Rhinolophus ferrumequinum: one gene and its partners. The protein of the gene in region 1 purifies or fractionates together with the protein of each later gene. This does not show direct contact. Links are inferred from orthologs where the notes say so. Each region holds a gene or a part of one and is shown in the gene's direction. Other genes may lie near its edges. The genes, in order: TXNIP, NLRP3 and WWP2.

Region 1 (7,329 bases):
AACCACTCTGGTTTCCTCTGGAAACCCTGAAAAAACCATTTCAGTGGTAGAAGTCAGACTACTGGGGACAAGTAGTCTGGGGGACAAGTTTAGTCAGCAGAGAAAGTGGTGTAAATTATTTATTCTCTTAAGAAATGTTACAGGAAAGAAAACAGATGTGGTGATAGCATTGAGAAGGTATTAAGATTTTTTTAAATATAATAAGGCAACTTTAACAAATATCTTAAATGAGTCTGCAATAGTTCTGAATAACTTAATTCATCTCTTCTCCCCAGCTTTCCCTGAAGTCGGACAACTCCTAGACCTCCATTCTTTCCTCACCGTAGTAGAGAAATAGACCCAATAAACATGAAATTTGGTCTTCCCAATGAGGTGGGGTTTTTTGTTTTGTTTTTGGTACAGTAAATATACGTATTAGTTTCAGGTGTACAACGTAATGATCCAACATTTATACATATTGTGAAATGATCACCACATTAAGTCTAGTTAACATCTGTCAACATAATTACAGGATTTCTTTTCTTGTGATGAGAACTTTTAGAATCTATTCTCTTAGCAACTTTCAAATATGCGATATAGTATTTTTAACTGCTATACATCACATCCCCAAGACTTATTTTATAACTAGAAGTTTGTGCCTTTTGACTTCCTTCACCCATTTCACCCAGCGCCCCCCTCCCCCACCTGTGGCAACAAGGTACCTGTTCAGATGAGGTATTTTTAATAATTAAAGAAAAAAAAAAAAAAAAAAAAAATACCCTCACAAAGCATCCTAGAGACATGAACTCTAGATTAAGTATTAAGAAGCCTGGTTTTGGAGAGTGACTCTACTAGCTGTTTGTCCTAGAGCAAATTGCTTAAATAAGGGAACTGTTGTTGTTTTTCAAAGAATGTTAGTGTCCTCTTTACCTCTAGAGCTTTATGTTTTGCCCTGAATCCTTTGTACTGAAGATCAAACAAGATACGATGTGCTTAAGCACTGCTCAGGTAGGACAACATATTGAAAAGAGTACATACAGTACTTTAGATCAGACACAGCTGGGTTCAAGATCTTGCTCCATTTACAAAATCTGTGACTTCCGGCAAATTACTTAACCCTTTGAGCCTGAATTAATCAACCCTGAGTCACAGGGTTATTGTGAGAATTAAATGAACAATGTAACCTTAAATCCTTTCTGGAACAACATGACAGATGAACTTACAAATAAAATATCATTGAGATAATTTTGTAAAGGACTTTGTCCATTACAGGTGCTCAATATACGCACTTTGAACTCAAGATGCCACACAATGATTAATGCATTCTTATTTATCTGAGTTGGAGGCACACACACACAGTTGGGGAGTCTCAGTTCCACACTACCTTTCAAACCTTTACTTGCCTCTAATCTGGAGGTGACAGAAGTGATTAAAAGAACAAAGAAAGGGGTTTGTTTTGCCTTAGGAACTGAGTCTTTAGAGGTCTTAAAGATTTGTCAGGCCAGAGGTTAAAGAAAAGAGAAGTGCAACCAGCCTCTTGTCTCTGACTGGTAACAGAGTGCTGAGGGCGCTTCCCTCCCTTTGGCTTCACAACTCAATCACCTCTGGGAAGGCAAACAACAGTCACCACTTTGTTTCCTGTTGGCACTGGGATTGAAGAGAGTGGGGAAGGAACAGGTAAAGATGATCTCACTTGCAAAACTCCTGCACTCAGCCCTACTTAGCTCCTGTCCCTTTTCTCCCCTGCACCCCACAAGTGTTTGCACCCTAGTTTCAGGACAGCAGTTTACAAGATTCCTTCTTCCTTCCAATCAGGAACTGAGAAAGAATCAGGGGGCAGACTTTTATCAGAATACCGGGCTACTAGGTGAAAGGTCGTGAACAACCCTATCCAAGAGAGCTCCATTTCAGAACATGCCTTGGCTACAAGCCTGGTAAGGCAGCAGCCGCTGCCAAAACAAAATAGTTTTTTGGCATTTAAGGGAACCCAGACATAACAGAGAGCAAATAAGTGATCTGTACTGAATTCTGCAAAATGGGGAAGAAAGATAAAACTGAAGCCCAAGAGAGGGGCTTAGAGCAAGACAGAATCATATTCAGATTTTTTAAAACTCAAAAATTCAGCATTCAGAGATATGCCCAAATAAATATCAGCATTCGCTTTTTCTAAGATGTCCCAAATCACCACCCTGATCTATTAGGTTGGTGCAAAAGTAATTGTGGTTTAAAAGATTAAAAATAATTGCAAAGAACACAATTACTTTTGCACCTACCTAATATTACTACTCTGGCTCTCCTCCCAGCCTCTCAAAATGCACATGGGTACATATCACAGAGTTTAACAATATTGAGTCATGTATTTCTTTGTAAATATTTTGATATTTCACATTTATGTACACTTTCATACCCATCAAACTAAAAATTCTCCCAGAAGCCATAATTTTGAATTTTAAAAATTTCTTTAGTGAGTTCCACCTTCCCTGCTCCAGAAAATTCAGTCAATATTGCATACTGATTGAAAACTCAGGCTTCACTGGTTAACTTTCTAGAACAGGGTGTTTGCCTCAAACCCCCACACACTAAGGATCAACATGTTCCCTTTTCTGTTGGTGGTAATTGGGTGTGTGTGTGTGTGTGTTCTCCAACAGTTTTGATGCCTGATTCTTGGGCTTGCTTAATATTGGGGTTGAGCTATAACTTGTTAGCCTCAACCCAGTAGGAGGTGTGAAGAAGGATCTTTAAGAACCACGAATAGCCTTCTTTTTGCTGAGAGGGTAGGATTTCTGTATATTTCAATGCTTCTTTACTTCCCCATCTCCATTTTGGAGACATCATCTTCCTCTTTCCAGCACAAGAAATTATGTAATAATCTCCTGATGCCCCACACAGAAATGAGAGGGGCTCAGGGATCAAAGAAAAGGGGGGAAGAATCCCTGTATCTCTGCAACAGTCACCTTCCTGCAGTTATGAATAAGTTCTCAGGAGTCAGCTCCTAAGACATCTCATGGCCAGTTAGGGGACAACCCTTCTGACAGAAAGCCAAATGACAACACAGGATGAGTCAGGGTCTCTTTTAATTTGAACGTATGATGTTCTAGTGACCCACCTCTCTTCTTTCATTTCTTACCGATTTCTAAACGGCTTAGGAAAAAAACTTTGAAAAGAGAGGGAAGTTCTTCCTTCAAACAGCAACACAGCTATCTCCCCACTGACACTTGTTATAAACAAGAGAACGTTCCTGCTTTTAATTAGAAGGCTGTGAGGTGTGTGGCCTACAGATACACGTACATGCCATCGATGTAGTGTGTTGGAGAGGGGATGAAGACAAAGAGTAAAAGTAACTCGGCAGAAAGTGAAAAGAGTGACGCACCCACCCCGCCCCCTTCCTGGAGATGTGTGGGGGTCGGGAGTGCGAAATAATCAGAGCCTTCAGAATGCACCTCACTAAAGAGGTCAAAAGGTAGCTGGGGGAACATAAACAAAGTGTCCCCCAACTATGCAGGTAGAAACTGAAAAGATGAGGGAATAAGCAACAGGATGTGAACACGCCCTTACTATTTCCGTTCAAGAGAACAGTCTGGAAAGTACGAGGGGGGGGGTGAAACAGCACAGGCAAGAGGACTAGAAAGGGAGGCCCATCGTTTACACATACCCGCTTTCCAATGAGGGCTGAAGAGAGGCTTAAAATCTGTGACCAGTTCTGGTTTGTGTTGTTGTTTAACACAGATGCGGAGCAAGAGGACAAAGGGGATCTTCCCGAACAATAACATCAACATTCCCTGTCCTCCACCCCATCCTCAAGTATTCTTGGAGCTCTGGGATTGTTTTTCACACGACTAGCGATGTGTGGGCCGGGAATACGCGGGCGCTTCTAAATTAATTGTCCTGGCTAAGGCGAGGCACGAAATCGCTCAGAAGCACGTTCTCCTTTTACCTTCAAACACCGCTCCCCGCCCTGAATCATCTGCACCCGCCATTCGAAGGCCCCTGGCCCTGGACACATTTTTAGGGTCAGCGAGGTCCTCCTTCCTCCGGGACCCAAGGGAAGCCGCTCCCCTGCCCTCCGCCCCCTCCCGCCCGTGCGGCCGCGGTGCACAACAACCATTTTCCCCGCCAGGAGCACACCGTGTCCACGCGCCGCTGCGACCTCGCTGATTGGCCGGGCTCCTGGTAAACAAGGACCGGGCAGCCAATGGGAGGGCTGTGCACGAGGGCAGCACGAGCCTCCGGGCTAGCGCTCGCGTGGCCCAGCCAGCCCCGCTACTATATAGAGCTGTTTCCGGATCTCAGTTGGAACTCCCCTCTTATTTTTGGAGACGGGGTGCAGTCAGCCAGCCGGCCGAAACCCAGAGCGCTTCTGCAGCTATTGGGGAAAGCAAGCTTACTTTTCTCTTGAAATTCCTTGGCATAACCAGCAGCTTACATTTTGACATCTTTTCAAAAATTGAGTAGAATTGAAGAGTGAAATAATCTTAAAATTATTGCCAAGGGTTCTTGGATTTAGGGTTTGGTGATTTTTTTTTTTTGCCTTCTTTGGTTTCTAATCCTTAAGCCAACCCAGCCCAATCATGGTGATGTTCAAGAAAATCAAGTCTTTTGAGGTGGTCTTTAACGACCCTGAAAAGGTGTACGGCAGTGGGGAGAAGGTGACTGGCCGGGTGATAGTGGAGGTGTGTGAAGTCACTCGAGTCAAAGCTGTCAGGGTCCTGGCTTGCGGAGTGGCCAGAGTCCTCTGGATGCAGGGATCCCAGCAGTGCAAACAGACCTTGGAGTACCTGCGCTACGAAGACACGCTTCTCCTGGAAGACCAGCCGACCGGTGAGTAACCCAGACGTGCTCTGCTGGAGGGTGAAAGCTGATTTGAGAAGAGTATTGAAATGAATAAATGGAGCCTGTACTAAATACTTTAAGTTGCTCAGGTTGAGTGCTTTGAGTTCTGTGCCGCGGCTCTTTCAGTTTTAATTTGCAACCCCCCCCCACCCCGAAAAAGTGACTAATACAACTTCTTAGGGTGCTGTGTTCTGGTCTTGCAGGATGTTGCCTTAGATCTTTAAAAATATTTTTGTGTGTGTGTGCGTAGGTTGCTTATTCTTTGTTTCCTGTTTGAGATGGCTTTGCAACTTTCTGCCCAACGACATGTATCAGAATTTGTCATTTAAAAATACAAGGGGTGAAAACTAGGGTACTACAATACTCTTGCATGCCACCCAAGAATTCCTTATCACAGGGATGCATTTTAAGTGTAACCAGAAACCTGATGGCTACTCACTTTTCTCTCCCTTCAGGTGAGAATGAGATGGTGATCATGAGACCTGGAAACAAATATGAGTACAAGTTCGGCTTTGAGCTTCCTCAGGGGTAGGTATCAGCTAAATGCATCTTTGGACTTTCTGTCTGTAAAAATCTTCCCCTCCTTTGATCATCTTCTGTTCTTGGAGAGCATATTTAAGTTAATTATAATACTTCTTTTTACTTGACACAGGCCTCTGGGAACATCCTTCAAAGGAAAATATGGGGGTGTAGACTACTGGGTGAAGGCTTTTCTTGATCGCCCCAGCCAGCCAACACAAGAAACAAAGCAAAACTTTGAAGTGATGGATCTAGTGGATGTCAATACCCCTGATTTAATGGTGAGGTTCATTTGAAGATTGTATGGGTTTCAGGGATAAGTCAAACGTCTTGGGCATTAGATTGAAGCAGCTCAGGGAATGAAGTCCTAAGTCATCAAGGTGGGAGGGCTGCCTACTCTAGGTAGGCAGGGGAAAGGAAAGAGAAGCAGAGAAAAGGATCTCTAGAAATTCTCAAAAAAACCTTTTCTCCTCCATTCTTCTTAGGCGCCTGTGTCTGCTAAAAAGGAGAAGAAAGTTTCCTGCATGTTCATTCCTGATGGACGGGTGTCTGTCTCTGCCCGAATTGACAGAAAAGGATTCTGTGAAGGTAAAAACCTAGAGCTTAAAACAGTAGACTGATAGAACAGAAACTGGGGGTTTGGGGGTGAGGACAGGGATCGAAGAAAAGTCATTAACTGTACTGAGCATCCGTTTTTATTTTTCTGATCGCTAGGTGACGAGATTTCCATCCATGCCGACTTTGAGAATACATGTTCCCGCATCATAGTTCCCAAAGCTGCCATCTTAGCCCGCCACACTTACCTTGCCAATGGCCAAACCAAGGTGCTGATGCAGAAGTTGTCATCAGTTAGAGGCAATCATATTATCTCGGGAACTTGTGCATCATGGCGTGGCAAGAGCGTTCGGGTGCAGAAGATCCGGCCTTCCATCCTGGGCTGCGACATCCTTCGAGTTGAATATTTCTTGCGGGTAAGTGAGTGAAATTGTTCATCTGTCAAAAGACCAGGGATGTCTTTTCTAGACCTGTAGTCTAACAAAGTGCCTTCATCCTTTTATAGATCTACGTTAGCATTCCTGGTTCCAAGAAAGTCATTCTTGACCTACCCCTGGTAATTGGCAGCAAGTCGGGTCTGAGCAGCCGGACGTCCAGCATGGCCAGCCGTACCAGCTCTGAGATGAGTTGGGTGGATCTAAACATCCCTGATACCCCAGAAGGTGAGCCAGACCTTATGTCTTTTCTTCCCCTCTGGCCTGCTTGGGTTTGTAAAATTGTGAAAATTCTTGGCCAGGCTTCTTATCCCCATACTTTTTCTCTCCAGCTCCTCCTTGCTACATGGATATCATTCCTGAAGATCACCGATTGGAGAGCCCCACCACTCCTCTGTTAGATGATACAGACGGTTCTCAAGACAGCCCTATTTTTATGTATGCTCCTGAGTTCAAGTTCATGCCACCACCTACTTACACTGAGGTGAGAATTGTCATTTTACCACAACGTTTATCCCAGGCCTTCTGTAGGATGTTAACTGGGCGGGATTGCTAAACTGGGGTTTTCTTTTATTTCTAAAACTAAAGGATCTTTTGCTTTTTCCTCCCTGCAGGTGGATCCCTGTATCCTTAACAACAATGTGCAGTGAGCATGTGGAAGACAAGAAGCAGCTGTACCTACGTGTTTCTTTCCACCTCTCTTCCTGGACTCGAACTTTTTCAGAGACTGGACAGTCTCTACAGTGGGCGATGGGTCCACCCTAACCTCTGACTCCCCAGTGTAGGAGATCAGCAGGCAATCTCCTGGGCCTTAAAGGGTGTGCACTCGTCCTCAGCCAGCGAGATGTGATATCGGGGTGTTGGCTGGATGGGTTTAAAAACACTAGAAGGACTCAGGCCCACCCCCTCCTCTCAGATCTCCTTGAAAATTGAGGCATCTTCAGTAGTTTCGAATAAGGGGTAGAAATGGCCTTCTGGCATGGTCTTCCCAAGTTTTTTTGGAGGGGAGTAT
Region 2 (8,075 bases), on another chromosome or scaffold:
TGTCCTAAGGACATTTTCTATTTCCTTTAGGTCCATTTGAGGTATGGTAATTGGATTTTATTCAAATGCCACCATCTCAAGGATGCACACATATGTTAGTCATGATTTGTATGTTGTCTCACTGGGTTGAGACATTCCTTTGCAGGAGAACAACAGCCTTAATGGTAGGGAAGTTATTTATATTAATAATAATCTCCAATTGGAGAATTCCCTGTGAATTGCACAGTAACTGAGAGACTCATTTCACGGGGCCAATAATATATTTGTAATATTTGGCTTATTTTACAGCATTTTCATTGCACTTATCACCCCAGTCCTCTGGATTGGTTGAGTGTACAAATGATAAGTTAAAATTCAACTAGGTAAATTTTCAGAAGCTTTTAATCTCCCTTGGCCAAAAGCTCTCCTTATAGTGCTTCTCAAACGAGATATATTCCTTTTGGTAAACATGGGCTTTCTCCTCATTATCATTGTTCACCTTACTAATAGGAGACATTCTACATTATTATCAAGGACTTATCAATTATCTTAAAGAAATTAATAAATTAGTAACTGATTCACTTCAGCATGTTCCCGGGAGACGAAGACTGCAAAGACCACGGCTCACAGCCAGGAGATTTTGTCCATTGGACAAAGGCTCTCCAACCTTGTCGGAAGGGACCTATCAGTGGATACCAAAGACTCTTCAAGGATGAGAAGCTGCCGACATCAGGGTTAGACAGCTACCCCAAGACATCGAGAAGGCCTGTACATCTACATAATTGATACTGAACTTAAAACAACCATTGTTTGATTGTCTTTAACTGTCTGCTAATAATATTAGTAATAATGATAGTTATACTTGTTTGTTAGGCTTTTTTCAAAACCTGTACTTATATAGCCCGACTGTTAATAATTGCTCAAGTCGTATTAGATAACTTCTTTATTATCAATAATACTATATTTATGGTTTTGAAATGTAAAAGAAATGTTATTGTAGAAAGAAGAAAAGGGATGTGTGTGTATTTTTGAGAGAAGTTAAAAGGAAGTAGTTTGTCCTAATAAGTTGATTATTTCTGAATGAGGGAAAGGAGACAAACTGAGAAGGACAAGTGAAGTTATAGAAGGTTAGTGGAAAAGAAATATTGAGAAAGGAATTTTATATTAGAACCCAATTATACTTAGCCCCAATCTTTACAAAGACTACTAACGATATTAATTCAGATAGAAGCTGAAGTGGAGATCTATCTATCTATCTATCTATGTGTGTGTGTATATATATATATATATATATATATGTACATATATACGTATATATATATATCCCTCTATAATGGCTGCTAAGGCACAGAAAATTTATTTATGAAACTTCTACTGTCCTCTTGGCCTCTAGAAATGTTCAGGTAGTAATTGTAACTTACACCATTGTGTTCTTAGCCCCTATTAAACCTTAAAGATACAGGTCCCGGTTATACAACTAGCAGAAATCAGATTAATGAATGACACATGAGCGCTTCCAATGTAAAGTAGATAGGCCATATTAAACTGAAAAGGTGAATGATTATGTCCCCAATCTATATGGAATTCTGAATTTACCTAATCCTGGCCTATTGTATCCACCTCAACAAACAACAATATGTGTTATATGAGAAGGGGACGTTTTTGTTGGGAAGGGTTAGAAAATTCTTCTGTCATACTAACTGATTTCTACTGTAATAATACCAGGTTTATAGTAAATGCTATGGGAATACGGTGTAGTACTGAAATCACAGCCAAATTAACTTTGCCTATAACAATATTGATACTGAAAATCCAGTGTACTGGGAAATTGAACTTACTCCTCCCCATGAAGTCATTTCTATGGAAACTAATTGACCAGAAGAAAAATTAGAGCTTTTCGATCATGAAATAGTAAATTCTTCATTTATCTGGCCGAACTTGTCATAAGGTACAAATAGCAGTAGACGAGGGAGGGAAACATATTAGCTTAATAAAAAATTATGATAATGCAAATGAAGGGTTCTTTGGTTGGCTAGGATGTTTGCTCCGCTCAGACTCATACTTGTCTAATATTGGACATTTTCTGCTCCTAATCAGTGTTACTGGTTTAATACTATTGCTCTTGTTCCTAGTTTGTACATGTTATATTAGGTGCAAAAAAACAACATAAGACAGACAGAGGAAAAACTTGGATCATGATAGCTCAAAGATTAGAAATGATCCAGAATATATTTAATGAAGACATATAGGATCTGACTGCCTCCTGTTTGCTCACCTTTTCTTTTAAATATAAATAAATAATTTGGCCTTGACTGCCATCTAAGGTTATGGTCTTGCCCCACCCACAATGGTCCAACATTCAGCAGGACAAATGCCGACACTAAGATTCCTAGGAATGAGCCCTCCTAGCACCGTGGGACCACACTATCCAACCAAAAGGTTGGTCATCAATGTATTATTCGAATTGATTTATGACCAAAAGGGGGAAATGTGAATGAAAAAGGGGCCACATTTAAACCTGACAAGCTCAGGAGACTGAAAATAACCACAGAGGATGGTGTGAACATAAAAATTCCTCAGTAAGGTGGGCCATGGCGGGAAGTCACATCCTCACCTGTTGCTTCCTTGGCAAAGGTAAATCTTTACCTTACGTGAACCTGTCTGTCGTCTTTTTGCATCTAAGATAACATACCCTTGGAATATAAGAGTAATCTCTTCCTTCAGACCTCCCAGAGGGCACAACCCACCGCACCAGAGCAGGAAACTACAAAATCCCTCATTGTTATCTTGTTTTCTAAATACCATCTCTCTGTGCTGTAAAATGCTATTAACTATCCTGTACCCACCAATGTAAAAGAAGTGTGTGTCTCTCCATTTTGCTTTTTATCCAATCCCAGAGATTTCCCCGCTTTGCTTTCTCCCACCCCCTTAATCTACGACCAATGGATTTCATGAAACCCTCCTCCTTTGATTCTAATGTATAAAAATAAGTTGCAAAATGGCCATTTTCCAGAGCATTTTCTCAATCCGTTGAGATTTTGCTTCCCAGCAATTGTTGTCAGTTTGGCTCAAATGAACTCTTATAAGCTTTCTCTCAGGCTGGATGTTTTTCTGTTGACTGCACAGTCTAAGTTGCATGAGGACACACCGTAATGTTTTTATTTGACAGAAATTGCCATACCAGAAGTGATGTGTGACACAGAACCTTTCTCATATGCACCACCTCTTCTTTATCCTGTCATCTATCGATGGGCACTTAGTTCACTTCCGTATCTTGGCTGTTGTAAACAATGCTGCAATGAACATACACATGCATGCACCTTTTTGAATTAGTGTTTTGGGTTTCTTTGGATAAATACCCAGGCGTGAACTTGCTGAGTCATAAAGTAGTTCTATTTTTAATTTTTTGAGGCATCTCCATACTGTTTTCCATAGCGGTTGCACCAGTTTGCAATCCTACCAACAGTGCACGAGGGTTCCCTTTTCTCCACATCCTCACACCACTTGTTATTTGTTTGTTTGTTTGTTTATTTATTTATTTATTTATTTATTTTTAACATTTTATTGGGGAAGGGGAACAGGACCTTATTGGGGAACAGTGTGTACTTCCAGGACTTTTTTCCATGTCAAGTTGTTGTCCTTTCAATCTTTGTTGTGGAGGGTGCCGTTCAGCTTCAAGTTGTTGTCCTTTCAGTCTTAGTTGAGGAGGGCACAGCTTAGCTCCAGGTCCAGTTGCCGTTTCTAGTTGCAGAGGGCATAGCCCACCATCCCTTGCGGGAGTCGAGGAATTGAACTGGCAACCTTGTGGTTGAGAGCCCACTGGCCCATGTGGGAATCGAACCGTCAGCCTTCGGAGTTAGGAGCATGGAGCTCTAACTGCCTGAGTCACCAGACTGGCCCTATTTGTTGATTTATTGATGATAGCCATTTTGACAGCAATGAGGTGATATTTCATTGTGGTTTTGATTTGCATTTCTCTGATAATTAGTCATACTGAGCATCTTTTGATATGTCTTTTGGCCACCTGTATGTCCTCTTTGGAGAAATGTCTATCCATGTCCGCTGCCCATTTTTTAATTGGAATTTTTTTGTATTGAGTTGTATGAGTTTTTTTTAATAAATTTTGGGTATTAACCTCTTATCAGATGTATTATTGGCAAATATCTTCTCCCATTTAATAGTTTGTCTTTTCGTTTTGTTGATGGTTTCCTTTGCTGTCCAAAACCTTTTTAGTTTGAGGTAGTCCCATTTGTTTCTTTTTCTTTTTTTCCCCTTGCCCAAAGAAATACATCAGAAAAAATATTACTAAGAGCAATGTCAGAGGGTTTACTGCCTATGTTTTCCTCAAGTAGTTTTATTGTTTTGGGTATTACATTTAAGTCTTTAATGCATTTTGAGTTTATTCTTGTATGTGGTATAAGAAAGTGGTCTAGTTTCATTGTTTTACATGTATCTGTCCATTTTTCCCAAAACAGTTTATTGAGGAGACTATCTTTACCCCTATTGTATATTCTTGCTGTTAGGTCTCTGAATGTTGGAGACCTTGACTTAATGTTAGGTCTCTGAATGTTAGGTCTCAGAGACCTTGACTTACAGACAGAACCACGTCTGCAAGAAAACAACAAAATGTCTGTTGGCCTGCACCTGCAGACAGAGCCAAACTTGCGAAAAACAGAAAACACCACAAAACAGCTACTAGCTTGCAGGTAGTCAGAATTTTCTGTTCAAACAGTGCTACCCTGTCAGCACAGCCCCTATAAAACTCTCCTCACCCCCTCCCTTGGGGCTGCAGGTCTCCTTTAGACGCACAGTCTGGGCTGTAGCCATCTTTGCTCCGCCCGACAGGCTTTCTCTTAATAAACTTTCTCAGCTTGCCTGACCATGTGCGTTCCTTTACCAGCCTACCTATCATTTGGTGCCAGAACCCGGGAGGGTTTAGGCCAGAGAATGCAGGATCGCTTCTTCTCTTTCTCTTCTCCCTACTCCCCTCTCCCCCCTGCTTGATCTGCTCTCTGGCTACCCTCCCAGACCTGCCGTAAGGATGTGCTTGGGGACTTTCTCCCTTCTGTTGCTGACATCCCAGACAACATCCGGCCAGACTCTCACACCGGGTGAGTGAGACGTCTTATTCTCTCCTCGGACCTGCTGACTCTCCAGTTTTCCAAAAGTCCTAGAGCTAGGCCAGAAAGTTCCTCCAGGCCCCGGGGGCCCAGATCCTCCCAGTCTGAGGACGCTGTTCTGAGGAGCGGTCTACCATATCCAAACCCGAGGAGGACGGACACCGGAATCGGGAGATGCCTCACCCCTGTGCTCCTCCTAACAGGAAGCTCTCTTCTCACCCTTGTCACTCTATCTCTTCAAACCATGGGGGCCTCACATTTGGTCCTTGCCAAATCTACGCCTCTCGGTTGTCCCCTCCACAACTTACACTCCCTTGGGCTCATCTTACAGGATATCTGACCCACAGGACTTATCTTTTACTACAGCACTGCCTCACCCCTATCTAACTTCTGTCACCACAACAGAAAATGGTCAGAAATTCCCTATGTGCAGGCCTTCTTTATTCTTTGAGCTCGACTCTCCCTCTGCCAAACCTACAATACATTCCAAATTCTCCTAGCGCACTCTAAGCCTTCTCCTCCTCCAGATAAAACTCCTTCCTTTGACCCGGCTGAAGATCGATTGGGTCTCTCCTCGTCCACCCCATGCCCTCAGCCTACACCTTCTCCCCCAAACTCCAGCTCCTCATTTCAGGAGGATTTAGTTCTGTAAGTACTAGCTTATGTAATTTATTTGTTTTATTTGCCTCTAGTCTGTCTTTTCTCTTTTCCTTTTCCTTTTCTATTTGTGTCTTAGACACCAAGCTGATCAGGAGCTCTGTATCTATACCTTCTGTGAGCCTTCTAAGTCATGTATTTAAAACTGTTTTGTACACCAACTATATTCAAGAACTTGACAAAAGGTGGTAATTCTTAAAAGATTTCTCTAACTCTCAGTAACTTTCAAGGTCTTGCAGATAACCTCAAATGTAAACAAAGGGCTGCTGCAGCCTCCACTTGAGGCTGAGGTAACTGAAGAGAAAAAAAGAGGCACTTTTAAACCCAGGCGGCAAGCGCCCCCACTCCGTTACAGCCTCCTGAAGTTGGAAGGGCAACTATAAGATCTTAGGTCCTCTCTGCAAGTGTTGGTGGTTCTGTTTACATATGTAGTCTCTAAGGTCTGTACTTGTCTGTTTTATATAATAATGGTTTTGCCTCCAGATGGTATTGCCAGTTTATAATATTTGATTGGCTAAAAATAAGAGAGTAAGTGCTTATATTAATTAAGATAATAACAACTAACTCAACTACTTCTCAGGATCACCTGATCTAAGGAAATATTTGATACTAAGACTGGTTTGTTGGATTTACTAAGTTGTGTTAAATGATGAAAGTTATTAACTATCTAGGTATTTCAAAATAGCAAAATATTGAAATATCAATTATTGGCTAGGTCTGAGTTTACCTATTTCTGGCTTCTTGTAACAGGAATAATAAAAGAGAAATTAAGATCTGTTAATGAATATGTCATGCATTGCATTACAAAAGTCAATGCTTTTAAAGGTTACAAAATATATCCCTCGATTTACCAGGGAAAGAGCTAATTACTTGCTTTTGGTTATTAGTATAAATTAAGGTTGTAAAGGTAGTACAAAACTCAAGTTGATTTTTCTCTCTCTGCTAAGTAAGACAAATTTTATTAGACTATTGGTCTACTACTAATATAAAAGGTTTTCTACCTAAAAAACAAAGATGATATATGTTATTGCAATAATTTCTATATTCTAGGACTACTGGTGTTCATGTGTCCTTCTCATGTCAGATATAAACAACTATTAAAAAAAATAATTTAACTGTTTTATACCAAAAACCTAGATAAGTTAGGGTAAATTCATTAAGCTTGACTTAATATTTTTCCTCACCTGACAGCAAATTATAATAATTCCGACCCATTGTTGCATCTTAATAAAAAGCCACAGAATCTAGAAAAGGTCAGGAAATTTGTTTAAATATCTTTAACAACTGAAGCAGGATAAACAAGTAATAAAGGAACAGTGAAACTAGAGACAAAGCCAGAGACAGGCCAGACTTTTGGCTGCAGTTGTAGACAACCCAGGGCTGAAGCCACCTCAGGGCCCCCCAGAAACCCCAGAAGAGGAAACGCCAGGCCACTGGAGTAAGGAGTGTCCTACTCCTCCAAACCAGCCATGGTCCCACTGCAAACTAAAAGGGCACTGGAGGAGGGACTGCCCCCTGTTCTGAAGGGAGCAGAGACCAACTCCCTCCCCACAAATGGCTGTGATCACTGCTGGACCTGAAGTTCCCAGAGGCTCCCAAGCTCTTCTCATCACAAGGGTGGAACTGAGGGTGACCGTTGACGTGGCAGGTAAGCCTGTAAATTTCCTGATTAATATAGAAGCTATTTATTCTTTCTTGACCACTCACTCTGGACCTATTTATTTCCTCTAAAACCTACTCAGTTGTAAAAATAAACCCCCCTAAATTTGGGCTCATTTTACTCCGCCTATTCCTTACCATTGGCCTATGTTGCAGAAAAAGTATAAAATAAGCAAATCACACTTAAAAAGGACTCTAGAAAAAGTTTTGTCAGGAGACCTCTAAGCCCTGGCTCTAATTGCTGCCCATTGCTGTGGATTCTGACCTCAATTCTGTTATTTTCTATATTAACTTGGGAAAAGTCCAGCAGGCACTCAAAATATAAGGACTGGCACTTCCCCCAAGCCAACTCCTCTACACATTATAGCCCCTTAAAGTCATAAAGTTGTACAGTGGGGACCAAGAACTATTAAAAGCCTAGAGGGGGAGGGGTCTCTAACAGCCCAATTAACTTCTAAACAGAAGGGACCCTTTCCAGATCTCCCAAACACCCCAACTACTATCAAACTACAGAGAGTCAGTAGCTGGGTCGCCTTCCCTTCAAATCAAACCTGCTCTATTAAAGTTTCCACAGGACACCCCCAGAAGAAAGACTACTGCTTCTGTTCCTGTGAGCCAACTGAAGGCCTTAAGCTCTTCTTCGAACAAACAGACAAGTCA
Region 3 (7,502 bases), on another chromosome or scaffold:
CCACGGCAGCCATGTTGGCCGAACCAGCTCCAAACACGCATGTGCACGGAGGTGGCGCTCACCACTACTTCCCATTCAGGGCGTCCGGGAGCCGGGAAGAGCAGCTGCGATTTAGCTGCGCCGCCTGGCGGCCGCACCCGCATCCCCCGACTCAGGACTACCCGCGCGCATGCGCGACGACGCCGGCAGCACAACCACGGGATGCGGGCACGGTTAAACCTTGGGGTACATCTAAGGAAATACGCTGCAGCACTCACTCCTTAGCTCCTTTTCCACTTTTAAGGGTGAAAGTTGTATATATTCTCATTGTTAAATCAGTCAATACACATAACCCAATTTAATGATCAAGGGATAGCTACAAGACAACTAGGCCCAGCTTAAGTGGTTGTGACTGAGATTAACACCCAGACAAACCAACTCGGAGCCTCTTTTTTACCCATTATGCTATACTGACTGCTGCTTACGTACCCCCACTTCCTTTTGAGTAACTTGAGGCCAAGTTACCTTAATATCCTTATTTACCTTAGTATCCTCGTTCCACTTCCCTAAGCAAGACACACACTTTGCTAGCAAATAATTCCTTGCTGAATCGAACTGAAGAGGGGTATTAGATGATTTCTGAATTCCCTTTCCAATCTGAGATTCCATCATTAGGAGAACTGGCCTATTATAAATTCATGCTGGTGAATTTCAGCTGAATGTTGACTTGAGTTTTCAGTAATCAGTTTTCAGAGATGTTGAGTTATTCCAAACCTCTGTGAAGTCTTCAATCCAGTCTTAGCCCTCCCTTCTAATTTATGCATCCTACTTCCAGAAATCCCTGAAGGTCCCCTTCAGTAGTTGCCCAAACCCCTTTCCCTTCCCTAGACATCTGTCTGAACTGTTCTTACTTAGTCTCCTCAACCTCCAGAGCCACTGGTTCCTGCCCTGCCTGCCCTGCCTAAAATAGCCTGATAGAAAGCTTTCTAATTTTCGAGTTCATCATGTCAATTTTCTGGTATTTTTTTCTTGCCTTCTCAGTTTCTCTGTAGAATTTGACATTGCAGCCCATCTCCTCTTTCTGGACTGTCTCTCCTTGCCTGACTTGGGTGATACTACAAGATTCTGGTCCCTTCCCTCCCTGATGGCTTCTCATCCTTCTTTACTGGACTCCCTTCTTCTGCCTTGCAAACCGGACCCCCTCCACAGAACTGTCTGGCCCCTTTGTCTCTCTAAACTCTCTCCTTCAGCAATACTATCTATCCTCAAGGCTTCAGTTATCACATTATAGGAATGCCTCCCAAATCTTTAGGTCTAATCCCTGTTTATTCCCTGTTTATATCATCTGAAAACTTTTGGCATCTTCACTTAGGAGGAAGGTTATGACTGAAGTAATTATCTCTCCCGCCCCAGCTTAAACTTTGTTCCAATACTAAGGTTTCTATTTTCATTAAAAGGCATTACCAACAAAGACATTCAAGGTAAGCATCTGAGTCACCTCATTTCCACCCTCTCTCTCAACCTGTGTTTCTCTTGCTAAACCTTATTGATGTCACTTCTGAAATGTATGGGGCGTCTGGGTCCCCTCTACATTCATTACTCTAATCAAGCTTTTTATCTCATGCCTAATAAATATAATACACTCAATGCTAGTATTCCTGTCTAATTTCTTCTTCAATTGATTGCTCATGTAGCCTAAAAAGCAAGGGAGGAACTAGAATCTGTAATAAAGAGGTTCATTGAACTTGGCAGCGATAATTGAGTAAACCCCACAAGGAAGAAGAATGATTTAGATCAGTGGTTCTCAGACTTGACTGTCAGAATCACCTGGGGAACCTGCAAACACAGCTTGATGGGTCTCACTCTCAGTTCCTGATTCAGTAGTTCTGGGCAGGGCCTGAGATTTTGTATTTCTAATAATTTCCAGGTGATACGGATGCTGCTCCTTTGGAGGACACGTTTGAGAACCACTGATTAGGGAAAAAGGAAAAGAATGATCAGGCTTTGAGCCATTTATTTTCTAGTAAATACTAAGAATACTTATTAATACACAGGCATATCTTGGAGATATTGCAGGTTCAGTTCCAGATCACTGAAATAAAGTGAGTACCATAATAAAGTGTTATAATTTTTTTGCTGATGGAAGGTCTTGCCTTCAATTTGTGAAAAATGCAGTATCTCTGCAGTGCAATAAAATGAAGAGCAATAAAATGAGACATGCCTCTAAAAGGTTTCTTGACACTTTGTAGCTTTTGTCATTTTTTAATAGAATTGAATCTCTTTTCTGTTTCTTTAGAACATTAGTCTCCAAGCCCCCTAAAGCCTTAGAAGGACTCTCACTTATTTAACAATTATGTATTGAGAACTAACTTATATCACCATAGGGTGGGTGACATGACAGCTATGAACAAAATCATATTTTCTGTAGCATCTAGGGACACCTTCAGAGTTTTTGACTTTGGAGATGGATCTGGAAGGATGAGTAGGGCAAAGCCATCAAGATAGGAAAGTCCAAGGGGTGTTCATGGAATTGAAGGTAGAGCCTATGGTAGGACATGGTGACTGGGGACAGGGTCTCTCAGAGGTGAAGTGAGCCCCGAAACACTTCACTGTTTTGAAGCTCCCGGTTTTTAAAAAGCAAAGAAATCTCACACGCTATTATGAAAATTGTGTTTACATGAACAAATTAACACTTTCAAGTACATGTAGAAGGAATCAATGTGTAACTCATTTGGAGATGTCAACTTTTACATGTGAAGAAACCCTTTATGAAAGAGAAGGTATTGCTTGTGTGCCAGTGAAGATCCGAGTTTGTTTCCAGGATTGAAATATGTAGAGGCTATGAGACTAAATGCTTAACAGGGGAGAGAGAACTTGATGCAGAAGAAACACTGTGAAATCAATAAATGTTCTTAGAATTCTTCTGGACTTTCCTGTCTCTGCCTTTGCCCTTGTTTTTTCTTATTCCTGAAAATTCTGCCTGCCAATCACTGCTTAGTTTCCAAAAATGGCCCATTGTCCCCTCTGTAAATTGGTCCCTGATTACCCAAATTAGATTTTTCCCCAAGGACAGATTTGAACTCTGCTTTTCCACCACATTTAAGACATTTCAGTTCTGTCACTCAGCGAGCAGTTATTATTTATGCTTTGCAATGTAGTTGTCTGTTGTCTTTAAGTAGGTTGGAAGTCAGGGAATGGGTTTTAGGGATCTTTATCCTTAAATGAAAAAAATCTCTTACACTGTAGGACCTACAGCAATGAGTTCAGTGCTCAATAAATATTGAAATGTATTCATTCAACAAATTATTTCAAGAGGCTTCCCGAGTTTGGAAGGTCTGTGGAGGGGGCCACGTCTCAGGGACCTGAGAGCAGCCTCTAGGAGCTGCATGTGGCCACAGACAACAGCTAGCAAGACCAAGGGACTCCGGTCCTCTGGCTACAAGGAAGTTAAATCTGCCAACAATATTAAGGAGCTTGAAAGCAGATCTTTCCCTAGTCAAGCCTCCAGCTGACGACGCCACCTTAATTTCAGCCTTGTGAGACGCTGAGCAAAGAACCTAGCTGTGCTGGCCTGGACTTCAGACCTGTGTGAGGTAAAAAATGGGTATTGTTTTAGCCACTACACTGGGATATAGCTCCTGCCTTCATAATTCTTGTAGTGAGAAATAGATTTTACATATGTATTTTATGTACATACGTACATACCTACACACATGCAAATATTCATACAAAAGTCAGATAGTGATAAGACTGGAGGAAATATGGAGGAAAAAATAAAGCAGGAAAAGGGGCCGGTAGGAGAGTATTTTTACTTGCTTCATCTGGCAACCCTATGCCTACTATGAGTCAGGCACTGTTGTAGGCTCTAGATACACAAAAATCCTTTCCTGATCACCCTATGTAAATTTCCTGATCATCCTATTTAAATTATTTTAAATTATTTTACATAGTGTGATCAGGAAAGGATTTTTGTGTATCTAAAGCCTACAACAGTGCCTGACTCATAGTAGGCATAAGGTTGCCAGATAAAGCAAGCAAACATACAGTATGGCCAATTAAATTTGATTTTCAGATAAACATTTTGTGTGTGTATAAATATGTCCCATGCACTATCTGGGACACACATATTACACGGTTGTTTATCTGAAATTCAAATTTAACCAGACGTCCTGTATTTTATCTGACAATCCCACTAAGGAGCTCAATAAATACTTGATGACTTAATTGTTGAGCGGCTTCCTCTCACCTGTATAGTGGGGCTAATGATAGACCCGCCTCCGGGGTTGTAGGTAGGAGTATATGAAACTCCTGACACTCAGTGAGCCCTCAATTTATTTGATTGCCTGGGAGCCGTCCAGCGAGTGGTAAACGCTCCCACTTACACATATAAAAGGGGTAAGAAGGCCTTCTCTCGGCCAAAGGCTCCCAGGCCAGGCCTAGGTTGCCTGCACCTGCGAGTCCGGCCAGCCTCTTCCGGGTCAGGTGACCGCAAGCGGGCACGTGACTCAGCCCGAGTGCGGGCGGTGGGAGGCGGAAGTGGGAGAGGAGTTGGGCGCGGATTCTGTGGCCGCGGCAGGTAGCGAGCGCGGGCGCGGGGGGCGAGGCGGACGCGCGGGGGGTGCGGGGCGGGCCAGGGGCTGCGGGCGGCTGGGGGTGGGCCGGGGGCGGTGCGGCCCGGGCGCCGGGGGGCGGTGGCTTCCTGTGGGAGGGGCCAGACGCGGCGGTTCCGGCCTCCGAGGAGGGGTGTCCCGGCTCCGGCTCTGGCGCGGTGGGCGCGCCGAGGGCTGTTCGCGGGGGTTGCTCTGAGATGGGCACGGAGGAGGCCAGGGGTGCGGTGGCGGACAGCAAGTCCCTCGGGAAGGAGAAGGGAGTTTAGGTGCCAGGGATAGAGAGGGGTGACCTTTGAGGAAGGGTCGGGACGGGAGGAAGGGGCAACTTGCGACTGAACTGGAAGGGGGAGCCTGATAATGGGCATAGGACATGGAGGGAAAGAAGGAGAATTCAGGAAGATGCTGCTTGAACCCCAGCTGAGTCTCTTCCTTCTTTCCTCGGGTTGCTACCCGAGACTTTGATTTCGGTCCCATTCAGTTTGTAAACTTTAGGATGGGTCACAGAATCTTTTCTTGCTTTCGTCACACGCACTTAGTCCTGCCTGGATAGGGTTTCCACTTCTTGGGAACCTAGCCCTTCTGATAATCTTTCTTTGAGGTTTTCCCAGGTTAGATCAACTTCTAGGCTGAAAAAAAAAAGTGTGGGCACTTTGGCCATAAAATGGCTTTTAGTTTAAACTGTTGCTCAGCAGTTACCTCAGCAACATAGCGACTGCTGAAACCTTGGACAGTGTCTACCTCTACAGCTTTATGACTTTTCCTCTTTCTTCAGTTTAAATTATTCAGCTTCTCTTACCATGTGACTGCTTATCTTGACAAACTGTAACTAGGTAGGGTAACTGAAAGGTCTGTGTTGTGTTCTTCAGAACGATGACCTAGATCGTGATTTTGAGATTAAACACCTGTGTGAAAAGCTGTTCATCGTCTTTTTCTTCGTGTTTACTAAAATTTGCAGCAATGAAATAAATTTCGTGAATGTGGTATCACTGGAGTGAATGTTCAAACTGGGCATTCACAGGAGCCAGAGTCATTTTGGGTGACAAGTAGGAAAAAAAAGTACTTTGCTAATGTATTATGATTGCAAGTTTTTGGAATATTTGACAGTTTAAAATTGATTTTTGTAGCAGCCCTGTGAGTTAGGTTGGGAAGGTGTTATTCTCATTTCACAATGAACAAACAGACCTAAGAGATGACTTCTTTTTTTTTTTTTAAACAATTTATTTATCTTGTTTACTGGTTTCTTTCTCCCTGCTAGACTGCAACCCCTCAAGTGCTGGGGTCATCTTATTCAGCTTACTTGGCTACTAGCCTAGTGCCTGGCATGTTGTGGGCACTGGGTAAATGAATAAATGAATTTCTAAAGGTTACGTGGATGTATGTGGAGGATAAGGGATTTGAACTCAGGACCTGGCTCTTCTCTTAGACAGACTTGCCATTTTCTGTTATTGGTCCATCTGAAGACCATAGGCCTGGGGAAAAGGTTTGGGTTAGCTCCTCAGTCTCTTACTTAACGACTACTTTCCATTTACAAAGACTTATAACCAGCATCTCATTTAATTCTCACCATGGTCCTGTAAAGGTTGGTATTGTCCTTATTCTACAGATGAAGAAACTGAGGCTTAGCAAAATTCTTGCTTTAGAGTCCAGAGCTACTGAATGAATGAGCAGGGACTCCAGCCCAGGGCTTTTATCCTTAGATCCACTCTTTTCCATTCATAGAAGCAATATAAAGTTTTATTTTAAAATATTTTTTCAAGTATAAAAAGCATGACATTTTAAGGAAAAAAAGCAGTATGTAGATCACAGCAAAAATTGTGAATGCAGAATGCAATTGAAGTTTAGAAAACTCTGTGCAGTGCTATAGCCGCCTTTTCCTGGGAAAGCATTCTTTAATTCAATGAATATATATAAGTGCCTACTTTACGCCAGGCATTGTTCTAGAGTTGCCTTGTCCAGTATGGTGGCCAGTTGCCACCTGGGACTGTTGAGCACTGAGAATATGCTATGAGTAGAAAATACACACCAGATTTTGAAGACTTAATATGGAAAAAAGATAAAATATCTCATTGATATTTTTTATATTAGAATAAATATCAATATCAATATATATAGTATAAATGATGACATTTTAAGTTTATTGGGTTAATCACAGTATTAATTGAAATTAAATTCACCTGTTTCTTTTTACTTTTTAAAATGTTTTCTGGAAAATTAAGAATTGTATTGCACAGTGCTGTTCTAAACACCGGTGAAAGAATATATGAGAAAGTCAAAAATCCCTGCCCTTGTGGACAGTAAATTTTAGTGGGGAAAGGCACAGTAAACAAAAGAATCCAGTAAAATGCATATTGTATTGTAATAAAGCAGGGAAGTAGGATGTGGAATGTTGGCTAGGGTGGCAGTTTTGAATTAGGGTCCTGAGAGAAGACTTCTTGAGAAAGTGATGGTTGAGTGAAGATCTGAAGGAGGTGAGGGAAGGAGCCATGTGGCTGAATGGGGACATAGTGGTCCAGGCAGAGGAAACAGCAAATTCAACAGCCTGAAAGACACAGCACCCCTGGCAGGTTTGTGGATCATCCAGGAGGCCAGCAGCTGCAGGGATATGAGTGAGACGGGATGGGGAAGATGAGTCAGAGAGGTGTTGGGGATAAGGAAAGAGATGGGCGGGTGGGGGAGAGCCTTGCAGGCCATTGTAAGGATGTTAGTTTTCACTCGGAGTGAGTTGGGACCATTGAGTTTTGAGCAGTGGAGTGGCCACCATCCATCCTGCCTTTTAACCGGGTCACTCTGGTTGCCATGCAGAGAAGGAGTAAAGAGGAGCAAGACGAAGTAGGGAGACACGTTCAGAGGTATTGCCAGGATCCAGGTGAAGGACGGCGTGGGTCGCGGTGATGGAGGTGGTGAGGAGAGGTT

Evidence for each region.
Region 2: the proteins of TXNIP (region 1) and NLRP3 purify together in Homo sapiens (affinity purification with western blotting, with the first as the bait; 4 studies listed by BioGRID). This does not show direct contact. The link is inferred for Rhinolophus ferrumequinum from reciprocal best matches to the Homo sapiens genes TXNIP and NLRP3.
Region 3: the proteins of TXNIP (region 1) and WWP2 purify together in Homo sapiens (affinity purification with mass spectrometry; 3 studies listed by BioGRID and IntAct, with this or other methods). This does not show direct contact. The link is inferred for Rhinolophus ferrumequinum from reciprocal best matches to the Homo sapiens genes TXNIP and WWP2.

The regions. Positions count from the first base shown.
Region 1 is NC_046305.1:50,205,478-50,212,806, reverse strand, and holds the start of TXNIP (thioredoxin-interacting protein), read left to right. Parts: upstream 1-4,288; 5' UTR 4,289-4,547; coding exon 4,548-4,797; intron 4,798-5,264; coding exon 5,265-5,337; intron 5,338-5,461; coding exon 5,462-5,609; intron 5,610-5,813; coding exon 5,814-5,916; intron 5,917-6,042; coding exon 6,043-6,299; intron 6,300-6,388; coding exon 6,389-6,545; intron 6,546-6,649; coding exon 6,650-6,801; intron 6,802-6,931; coding exon 6,932-6,967; 3' UTR 6,968-7,329. UniProt on the Homo sapiens protein: May act as an oxidative stress mediator by inhibiting thioredoxin activity or by limiting its bioavailability.
Region 2 is NC_046307.1:1,051,531-1,059,605, reverse strand, and holds the start of NLRP3 (NACHT, LRR and PYD domains-containing protein 3), read left to right. Parts: upstream 1-4,994; 5' UTR 4,995-5,747; intron 5,748-7,223; 5' UTR 7,224-7,404; intron 7,405-8,075. UniProt on the Homo sapiens protein: Sensor component of the NLRP3 inflammasome, which mediates inflammasome activation in response to defects in membrane integrity, leading to secretion of inflammatory cytokines IL1B and IL18 and pyroptosis.
Region 3 is NC_046298.1:18,774,292-18,781,793, forward strand, and holds the start of WWP2 (NEDD4-like E3 ubiquitin-protein ligase WWP2), read left to right. Parts: upstream 1-4,471; 5' UTR 4,472-4,555; intron 4,556-4,726; exon of another isoform or gene 4,727-4,747; intron 4,748-7,502. Other genes in the region: RNA-binding protein NOB1, read right to left, coding at 1-13. UniProt on the Homo sapiens protein: E3 ubiquitin-protein ligase which accepts ubiquitin from an E2 ubiquitin-conjugating enzyme in the form of a thioester and then directly transfers the ubiquitin to targeted substrates.